Linked DNA regions of Cricetulus griseus. Each later gene encodes a partner of the first gene's protein in a complex. Links are inferred from orthologs where the notes say so. Each region holds a gene or a part of one and is shown in the gene's direction. Other genes may lie near its edges. The genes, in order: Asf1a, Cdan1 and Tlk2.

Region 1 (2,664 bases):
TTTTTAGTTATGTGTACTATTCAGTTTTGAGGGGGGTTGCTATTTCATTCTATAACATGGCCGTAAAGAAATTTGAAGTTTTGTAGTGTTTGAACAAACTAATTGTTCCATTTGCACGGAAGGCCTCAATCCTGTCTCTCCAGGAATTAATGTTCCATGGGTACCCTGAGTCAGATGGTCTAGCTTCCTGCAAAGAGCAGGCCTTCATTGCCGTTAGGTCTTTTATTTCAACCTTGAGGACATGTAATGTCTTATTTTTGTAGTGAAGTGATTATAAAAATATTTTTGCCTATAACTTCCTAAAATCACAGCAAGAAGATAAATGTGGTTTATTGGTCATTTCTTTTGTGATGGTTTTGAGACAGGGCTTTCTGCTGTAACCCAAAGTGGCCCTGAACTATGGCTATGGCATTGTTCCTCAGTTGTCCAGGCTTTCGGATTACAGTTGTCACCATGCCCAATGTGTGCTTATTTCTATTAATATTTAGAATATCTGTATATGTTATCCTGTCTGCTATTATTAGAGCTTAAACTAAAGGTATTAAGTATTTCTGATAATGACAACTTAAATTCTGAGACATCAAAATCTGATTCAGTAGTCTTAAAATCACTTAGTATCTTAGATTTTTTTCAACTGGTAATGGTTACCAGTCTTAGTTACTGTGATTTTTTTTTACTCTGTGTGGTACTCTATGTGGCAGACTTGCCACAGACTAGAGACTTCTGCTTTCTGCTGGTGCAGGTGGGATATCTTCCACAATTTAGAGACATCCTGTTGAGCTAGGATTAGTAGAACCTTTGTATAGCAGAAAACAAAACAAAACAAAACACTAGAATACTGTTTCTAAAAATGAATTTTAATACATTACAGTTAAGATCCCAGTAATTAGAGGTTCTATTTGAGGAAAATTTTCAAGTCTTGTTTTTTGTTTTATTTCTTGGTGCTTATTTGAACCTAGGGACTTAGCCAGAGTACTTTTTTTGCACTATGTTCCCAGCCTGAAAACACATTAGGCTAAAGGCATGCTTATTTAACTAAAAACATCCTTTAAAGGGTGTGCAGAAGTACCTCCCTTCCATTATCCTTTAAGAAGCAGAAATATAAAAGCAAGGTACTTTGTGTGTTGGGGGCGGGGAGGTTGGAAGATCTAGATGGATTTTTTTCTTACCTTGTTTCCAAGGGGGAATAGTTCTTTTGCTATTTGCTATTGTAGTCCTTGCTTATTAGTTAGGTTTAAGTGCTTCACTTGCTGATACATTTGCATATGAATTTAGTCCTTTAAAAGGACTGCCAGAGCCACTCAGTTTGCATATGGTAATCTTAACTTTCCTGGTGCTCATCATTTAAATGTTTCTTTTCTAGCTTCAAAGAAATATTTTGGCATCTAATCCCAGAGTCACAAGATTCCACATTAACTGGGAAGATAACACAGAAAAACTGGAAGATGCAGAGAGCAGTAATCCAAATCTACAGTCCCTTCTTTCAACAGATGCATTACCTTCAGCATCAAAGGGATGGTCCACGTCAGAAAACTCACTGAATGTCATGTTAGAATCCCACATGGACTGCATGTGACCAGGTGCCATCCCAGTAGTACAGATTAAGCTATTAAAAACAGAACTATTTCCCTGAAGTTCCGTAAGTACATAGTCAAGGTGAAATGTGAAGAGAATTTGTTTAAAAACATCCTGTAGAAAGTTTATAAGAAAACCAGTATTTGAGCAAATTGTGGAATATAAATACAACTATTTTTAAGTACTTTCTTTCTCTAATGTGTTATTTTATTTGTTCATGAAACTAATCTGGTTAAAGTATATATATATTATTTTCTTCTTTATATGTAATTAAAGCACTTATAAAAAGAAAACTTATCAATTATTAGACCAGGTTGTGAAGGTGTTTTAGCCTCTTGGACAGTAATACTTTTTACTAGCCTTTAAAAGAACAAAGTTTACTTCAACTAAAATGCTTTTTCCTGTGAAGACAGTGTCCTTTCAATTTAAGGAGCAAACTTCCATACTGTAGTAAAAAGAAAAAAAAAAAGAGAGATGTCTTTAAAAAGGGAATCTGAAATCAACTGTAGCCACCAAGGTTTTTCTAGGCCACCCCAGTGTGTCTTGTGGCTACCACCACAGCTTGTGTTAACACTGGACTTCTGGTTTCTATGTAATAAATGCGGCTACCTTTGAAGTCCTTCTGACTATGGCTTATGCTTCCCTACTTCTAAAACTGAGAAACCATGATCATAAATCATTGTCCAAAGATTTCAACATGGTGAGAATAAACGCAAGGTTTCTAAAGTATAAGATTAGATTATAATGGCTCAGATCTGCTATTCAGTTTATAGAAACTCCGAACATGTGTTTTTGGCACTGTTGCTACAGAAAGGTAATTTAGAAAGGTCTACTTAGCTTTATCCTATTAGGCTGGCTACCTTCAGAAGTATGTCTTAGGTTCACAGCTACAATACCCCATATCCTCTGCTTCTCATTAAAATGATAAGATCAGGGCACATCTGTAGTTGACATATTCTAGACCGATTTCCAGACAGTTGAAGAACAATTTTAGAAAGGAATTTACCAAATAAATGGGCCAAAAGCTTATTTTCTTTGAGAGATAGGTACTTTGTTAAGGTTTGGCTCCATTAAATTTACAGTAGAATA
Region 2 (2,312 bases), on another chromosome or scaffold:
ATTATCCCTTGGTATAGGGGTTTGGGGCTGATGCTATAGAGCAAGAGTCAGCAAACAACCATGGTCTAAAATTATTTGTTTTTGTAAATAAAGTTTTATCGAGTGCAATCACATCCATTTGTTTATAAACATCTGTGGCTGCCTTTATGCTACCAAAGGAGAGATGAATAGTTGGAGCAATATTTATTAGGCCTTGTGACTTCCAAGGGCTAAATTACTATCTGGCCCTGTTCTAAACAAAGTAGTGGTCTGGGAATAAAGCTGTAGAATAGAGACTAGAAAGCAGTGCCAATCAGTGGAGACTGTAGAAGGGACAGGGAAGGGTATCAGGCTAGATACCACTTCTCAATATGCAGAGGATTTCTATTTTAAGATGTCTGAGAAAATAAACAAGAGCATGAGAGAGATGTTCAGACTCTAGATAAAACAGTTTTTAAGATGCCCTCTCGGAATTGGTTAGGTAGTTTTGTCACAAGGTGAGTGACATCTTTGGGGCTCTCTGGCAGTATACGGTCTGTAGGCTTATCGCTCCGTTTACTTCCCCCTGGATTGTCTACATAATTGTTATCCTAGCTATGCTGTCCTGCATGAGCTTCAGCCCTAAGAACACCAGTTGCTTCACTCCCTTGGGCTTGGTTTTCCTTCTGCCTCTCTCCATTGGCTGGTTCCCATCCCAAATCAAGTTTCTGTCAGCCTGGCATGAGGTCTCAACACTGCTCTCTACAGGATGTACTCTCCCTGGCTGCGGGGCCTCGGGACCCTGAGGAGGGAGTTTCCCCAGAGCATCTGGAACAGCTCCTAAACCAGCTGGGCCAGTCACTGCGGTGCCGCCAGGTGAGATGTGGCATGAGCCACGTTGGCTCAGGGCCAGTCCTCAGGCTAGTAAGAATGTTCATGACTCCCCTTTTCCCCCCTATAGTTCCTGTGCCCAACTGCTGAGCAGCATCTGGCCAAGTGCTCTGTGGAGTTGGCTTCCCTCCTGGGTATGGTTCCTTTTCCATCAAATCCCACATGATACATTCCTCCAACCCCCAAGGTTGGGTACAAACAAGGTTAGGAGCACAGGTCATGCTCTTCTGCCTCCATTGAAATTTACCTTCTTTCTCTTTCTGTAGTTGCAGACCAGATCCCCATCTTAGGGCCCCCAACACAACACAAATTAGAGAGAGGACAGGCTCGAAGGCTTCTGCACATGCTGCTTTCCTTATGGAAGGATGACTTCCAGGGGCCAGTTCCACTACAGCTTCTACTCAGCCCAAGAAATGTGGGGCTTCTAGCAGATACTCGGCCAAGGGAGGTGAGTCAGAGGCACAAGGCTTCTGGTTTCTTTGGGGGTGGAGGGTTAGATATACATATATGAAGTTTTTTGCCATCATTCATGCATGTAAACCATGTGCATACCTGTTGGATTCCCTGGAACTAGGGTGGCTATGAGCCACCATGTCAGTACTGAGAACTGAACTTGCCGAGCAACAAGTGCTCTTAACCTCTGAGCCATCTCTCTAGGCTCTTACACTGTAGTTCATGCTGACCTTAAATTTGCTGTATTATTCCTGCCTATACCTCCCAAGTGCTGATTACAGATGTGAGCTACCATGCCCAGCTCCTCTACTCACGTTGTGTGTTAAGGGGATTGATTCTGTGGGGTGGGTGGGTGTGTGGGTGTGTGTGTGGGTGTGGGTGTGTGGGTGTGTGTGTGTGTGTGTGTGTGTTGGTGAGGGGGGGGGTTAGCATGTGTGCTTGTTAGTGAGCACTATTCTTGCTGAACCTGAAACTCATTGATTGGCTAAACTAGCTGGCTATTGAGCTTCCAGGACTTTCCTATCTTTAGCTCCCCCAGCACTAGGGTTACAGGTAGACATTCACAAACAGGGATCCAAATGCAGGTCATCATGTATGCACGTCAGGCACTTTACTAAGCCATCTCTTCATCCCTGAAAGTCATGTTCTTAACATTACCCAGTGCCCCATCCCAAGTTTTTTCTTTCTTTCTTTCTTTCTTTCTTTTTTTTTTTTTTCTTTGAGACAGGGTTTCTCTGTGTGACCCTGGCTGTCCTGGAACCCTCTCTGTAGGCTGACTTCTACTTGCCTCTGCCTCCAGAGTGCTGGGATTAAAGGTGTTCAATACCACTGCCCAGCTGTAGCAAGAGCTCTTAACAGCATGCTGAGCCGTCTCTCTAGCCCTAGCTCAGTCTTTTGAGATATGTCTACTCTTGGGACTACTGTTGAGTCCTCAGTCCCTACGGTTAAGACTACTGTGTGGTCTTGACAACTTCTGGCCTTCTCTGGTATTTTGCAGTGGGACCTGTTAC
Region 3 (4,396 bases), on another chromosome or scaffold:
AAGGAAGAAATACGGAACAGAACTCCACTTTGGAGTACTTGCCAACCCCCGGAAAAGTTCAAGTGGCTGTTCAAACGCCTGAATGTTTCTCTTGTGATCCGCTTGTAGTCCTTCAGTCATGCTCAGATATCTGGTCAAGAAAGCATCAGAGGAAAACAAAAAGCCGCGTAGTTACTTTGAAGTCAGTGTCTTGGCTCATGAGTATAGGTGAAGAAAGTGATTTTTTTTTTCCTTTGGCGTTGGGGTCAGAGGGGGAGCCCTTTCCCATGCAGGAAGCACAGGCGCTCACCCTCTCAGCAGCTTGTCAGCCTGTTTTCCCACTCCGGCATTTACCCTCAGACCCCCGAGCAGCCCCAGGAGGCCCGTTTTGTCACCAGAGGTTGAAATGGAACCTCCCCCTAGGTGCTCTCAGAGAGTGCCCCGGGGGTAGCGCCCTCCGCTCCGGAGGGGGGCATGCTAGTGAGGGCTCGGCTCTGCTCCCAGGACACCTTTGTCCCTGGAGACGCCCGGCCAGTCAGGTACGTGGAAGGCGGATGCGCTCGGCTTCCCGCGCCCGTGGCGTGGGGGCCTGGGGAACCGGACGGTGGCTGCGGACCTCGGGTGGGCACCGCGAACTCCGGGACCCCCCGCGGGCGCCCCTGCTGCTTCCCCTCGGATCCATTCGGGGCAGCAGAGCCAGCCTCACTCCTCACCCACACGTGTGGAGATCGGGGACGGGGCAGGCGCGGCTCCGACGCGGCTCCGCGGCCCAGGCGCCGGCTTCCGGTGCCGTCCACACAAAGGCGGCTCCTGAGGCTCCGGCCCGGCCGCGTACCCGGCGCCCCCAGGCGACCAACCGCCCTCTCACGTCGCAGCCCGGCCGCCAGCGCAGCCTGTCGCCCGCCTCGGTAGCCCCGTCAGGCGCGGCCTGCTCAGCCGGCGCGGGGTCCCCCGGGTAACCCCTGCCCGCCAGCCCGCCGCTGATTGGAGGAGGCGGAGCGCCGGGGGCAGCGGAGACCCCCCCACAACACCTTTCGCGTCCCCTCCCCACGGTCGGCACTCCCCCCCCCTCAGGAACCCCCCCTTGCCTCCCAGCCGTGCAAATCTCGCGAGGAAACACGCGGTTTCACTAGTGTGTTTACACCGATCACTACTAATCCGGACCGAACCGATCCGGATTAAGGGGCCGGAGGCGGGTCCTGGGCACCAGCGGTTCCGACCCCCCCGCCCCCGGCGCCGCACCCGAGTGGCCCCAGCCGGCCGAACCCCCACTTCCCGGCCCGACCCGGGCCCTTCTGCGCCTCCCTTGGCCTTTGTCCGGCGCCAGGAGGCCGGTCCGCGCCCCCCGCGGCCGCCCGGGCCCGGGCCCGCGTCAGGCGCCTGGCTCTGTACGCGAGCTCGGGGATCTGCGGCCTCCGTGGCCCTCCCCCCGCCCGCCCTCTCGTGGAGCCCGGCGCCGGCGGCGGCTGCGGGCGGGGGTTGCGGCGCTCAGGAGAGGCCCCGGCTCCGCCCGGGCCTGCCCAGGGGGAGAGCGGAGCGGTCCGCAGCCGGGTCGGGTCGGGGCCCCTCCGAGAGGAGCGTGGAGCGGCAGCGGCGGCAGGTGAGAAGCCGAGCCCGGGACGGGGCAGGGCAGGGCGCCGGGCCTGGGGTAGTAACCGTCCCGGGGACCCCCGTCGGCCTGAGGAGGCTGCGACCCGGGCCGGCGTCGGGCCGCAGCTCCTTGGCACTGAGGCGGGAGCTGCTCCCTCAGGGCTGCGGATCGCTGAGGGGCCGGGCCGAAGATGGGCCAGGCCCAGGCCTGGCGATGAGGCGGTCGGCCTGCTGAGAGAGGGGACTCCGGGGAGCCGGAGGCCTCGGTGGCCTCCCCGGCGCCCCCGACTCTGCCCCTCGCGCCCTCCGTGACAGGTGGGCCTAGAGTTAGGGAAAGTTTGGAGCCGGCGAGGGGCGCCGCGACCAGGCCCCGGTGGGTCCTGCTTCCCGGTTTGGGGCTTCTGGGAGGATCCCGGTCCAAAGGCTCGCTGGAAAGAGATGGGATGGATATTTTCTTAACGTGAGTTGACATTAAATGGCATAACTGCCGGGGCCTCATTTTCCGGACCAGGCCTGGGGATGGAGGCTTGGGAAACGTTTCCAGAGACCTTGGGACTGGGGAGAGCCTGCAACCTCTGCCATTCCGACCTCGATTAGGGCAGGGCGAGTGGCGAGTGGCGAGCAAGGCCACTTACCCACTTAGGGAAAACTCAGTTTTATTTTCAGCCTCTTTTATTTTAAAGATGCCCTTCTGCCCTTCTACCAATTTCCTAATGCGAGTGAAACTTTAATTTGTCACCCTTTGCCCCAGGCTCTCCATCCAGGAAGGGAAATGAAAGTTAGGACTTGTGGAGGGGATGTTACTGGAAATTGTGGAGTTGTTCGATTGCAGAGAAGGTTTTCAGTGAACTTTAAAAATTTTGCCAGTCGCTCTAGTAACTACTCAGTAGTATGTTCGAGGGTTTCTATGTAATGATGTCTGCTCCTTCCCAGCTTTTAACATTGAAGAGCTTTTCAATGCATGGTGTAAGAGTTTGCTCTTCCAAAGGTTGGACATACTTGCTCATAGTGTCTGCATTAATTGGTCGGGGAAGGAGTTTAAAAATGGTGTCCTCCTGCCCCTCCCTGCCTGGGAGGAGTGCTAAAAGCAGATATCTAGAGTGGAGAGAAACCTACTGCTTCAAGGAGTGGTCAGAAAATGATTTTGTGAAGGAATTGTTGCAGCGTTATATTAATTTCCAGAGTGAATGCAGGTTGACAGTTTATCTTACATTTAACATGAAAGAATTGCAATTTTCATTAGCTAATGTGAGCTATTGGGAGAAAGGAGCTATACAGTGGGGTTTCTTGAAGTTATTTGCAGCTTCTGATTCATTCTATATTCATTTGAAATTATTAACGAATCCTATTTTTAGCTTAAGAACTAGTTCTTAGGTGTTTGGGAAAGGAATATTTGGAAGTACTTAGATGGAAACGTTGATAGGAGTTTTCTGTTTGCAAGTTTGCCCCTGTTTTCCTTCTCTGCTTACTTTTTACAGAGAATGTGGAGAGTTTGCTGTTTCTTTTTATTTTTATAAATAAAAGTTTTTATGAGACAGGGTCACATTGTGCATCCCTGGCCAACCAGGCTGCCTTCAAATTTGTGGATACCTGCTGCTTATAAGGTGGGATTACAAGGGTAGGCTTCCATTCCTGTCCCTCTTCCCGAGTAAAAGATCAAATTAGAATTCAGGAAAAAGGAAAGGCTGTCTCGTAGAAGAGAGCCTGAGCTGCTGTATAACCTGAAATAACTATTGAGAATATCAAATAACTTTGGTCAGAGTGTAACACTGGAGTGTATGGTTTTTTTTTTGGTTTACAAAATTCCTGTGCATTTTCTCTTTCCTTCCTTCCTTCCTTCCTTTCTTCCTTCCTTCTTTTTTTCTTTGGTTTTTCTCTGTAGCTTTGGAACCTGTCCTGGAACTTGCTCTGTAGACCAGGCTGGCCTCAAACTCACAGAGATCCGACTGCCTCTGCCTCCCAAGTGCTGGGATTAAAGGTGTGTCACCACTGCCCGGCTCCTGTGCGATTTCTTATACATAAAACTCTTTCTCCCATTTAGTTTTTCATGGCTTCTTGGCCCTTTTCCTTCCTGTAGAAATGATGGAAGAATTGCATAGCCTGGACCCACGAAGGCAGGAATTATTGGAGGCCAGGTTCACTGGAGTTGGTGTTAGTAAGGTGAGTAACTTGGCGAACATGGACATTTCAAAGTATAACTTAAACACATTTAGGAACTGAATAGAAGGGCTTGGGTGATAGGGCTTGCTGTTGGTTGCAGGGGAAATTGTCTTGTGGACTAGTGAACTTTGAAATCCTGTCATTCCTGTGGAACATTTAAGTGTTAGTTTGGGAGAGTATGTTTCTTTCCCATTTGAGTAACGCAGAGGTTTCCTGAGGGGTTTGTTGCAAGGATGTGGATCTAGATTCTATTTTGTATTTTGTTAAAACTTTTCAGGCACTCAGAAAGCAAGAGGCATTGTAAAGCTTTCACATACTGGGTCTGTTGGGGTAGTTACATGATACAGTGCTGTTGGATCTTCATACACTGGGTCTGTTGGGTTGGTTACATGATACAGTGTTGTTGGATCTGGTGAAGTCTGTCAGTTCTCCAAATGTGCAACTAGTAGATTCCTCCTGGTTGTATCCTTAGTCTGCCTTTTCACACTTTTATTTTTTGTTTTATGTATATGAGTGTTTGCCTACATGTATGTATGTATGTACCCAGTGTGCATGTTTGGTGCTTGCAGAGGCCAGAAGAGGGCATCACGTGTGCTGAAATATTGGGTTTAGATGGGTGTGAACTGCCATGTGGGTACTCGGACCTGAACCTGGCCTTCTGGAAGAT

What was found.
Region 2: the proteins of Asf1a (region 1) and Cdan1 are in contact, whole or in part, in a cryo-EM structure (PDB 9CVC), measured with the Homo sapiens proteins. The link is inferred for Cricetulus griseus from reciprocal best matches to the Homo sapiens genes ASF1A and CDAN1. Residues at the interface, in NP_054753.1 of Homo sapiens: Gln5, Val6, Asn7, Asn8, Val9, Val10, Val11, Leu12, Asp13, Pro15, Asn20, Pro21, Phe28, Asp37, Val45, Ser47, Ala48, Glu49, Ser50, Glu51, Glu52, Asp54, Asp58, Ser59, Val60, Leu61, Val62, Gly63, Pro64, Val65; in NP_612486.2 of Homo sapiens: Arg195, Arg196, Ile197, Asn198, Thr200, Val202, Lys390, Leu391, His470, Glu471, Glu472, Pro473, Gly474, Trp475, Asp476, Lys538, Arg541, Arg544, Leu545, Gln546, Arg548, Leu549, Met550, Ala551, Pro552, Gln553, Ser554, Ser555, Arg806, Lys807.
Region 3: the proteins of Asf1a (region 1) and Tlk2 are in contact, whole or in part, in a crystal structure (PDB 7LO0), measured with the Homo sapiens proteins. The link is inferred for Cricetulus griseus from reciprocal best matches to the Homo sapiens genes ASF1A and TLK2. Residues at the interface, in NP_054753.1 of Homo sapiens: Val45, Ala48, Glu49, Glu51, Asp54, Asp88, Val92, Thr93, Val94, Leu96, Arg108, Gly110, Tyr111, Tyr112, Arg145, Thr147, Phe149; in NP_001271262.1 of Homo sapiens: Arg11, Arg12, Gln13, Leu15, Leu16, Glu17, Arg19, Phe20, Thr21, Gly22, Val23.

The regions. Positions count from the first base shown.
Region 1 is NC_048595.1:255,430,207-255,432,870, reverse strand, and holds the end of Asf1a (histone chaperone ASF1A), read left to right. Parts: intron 1-1,363; coding exon 1,364-1,576; 3' UTR 1,577-2,053; downstream 2,054-2,664. UniProt on the Homo sapiens protein: Histone chaperone that facilitates histone deposition and histone exchange and removal during nucleosome assembly and disassembly.
Region 2 is NC_048599.1:57,757,411-57,759,722, forward strand, and holds part of Cdan1 (codanin-1), read left to right. Parts: intron 1-726; coding exon 727-834; intron 835-919; coding exon 920-983; intron 984-1,115; coding exon 1,116-1,297; intron 1,298-2,299; coding exon 2,300-2,312. UniProt on the Homo sapiens protein: May act as a negative regulator of ASF1 in chromatin assembly.
Region 3 is NC_048600.1:118,153,005-118,157,400, forward strand, and holds the start of Tlk2 (serine/threonine-protein kinase tousled-like 2), read left to right. Parts: upstream 1-1,450; 5' UTR 1,451-1,579; intron 1,580-3,646; 5' UTR 3,647-3,648; coding exon 3,649-3,729; intron 3,730-4,396. UniProt on the Homo sapiens protein: Serine/threonine-protein kinase involved in the process of chromatin assembly and probably also DNA replication, transcription, repair, and chromosome segregation. Phosphorylates the chromatin assembly factors ASF1A and ASF1B.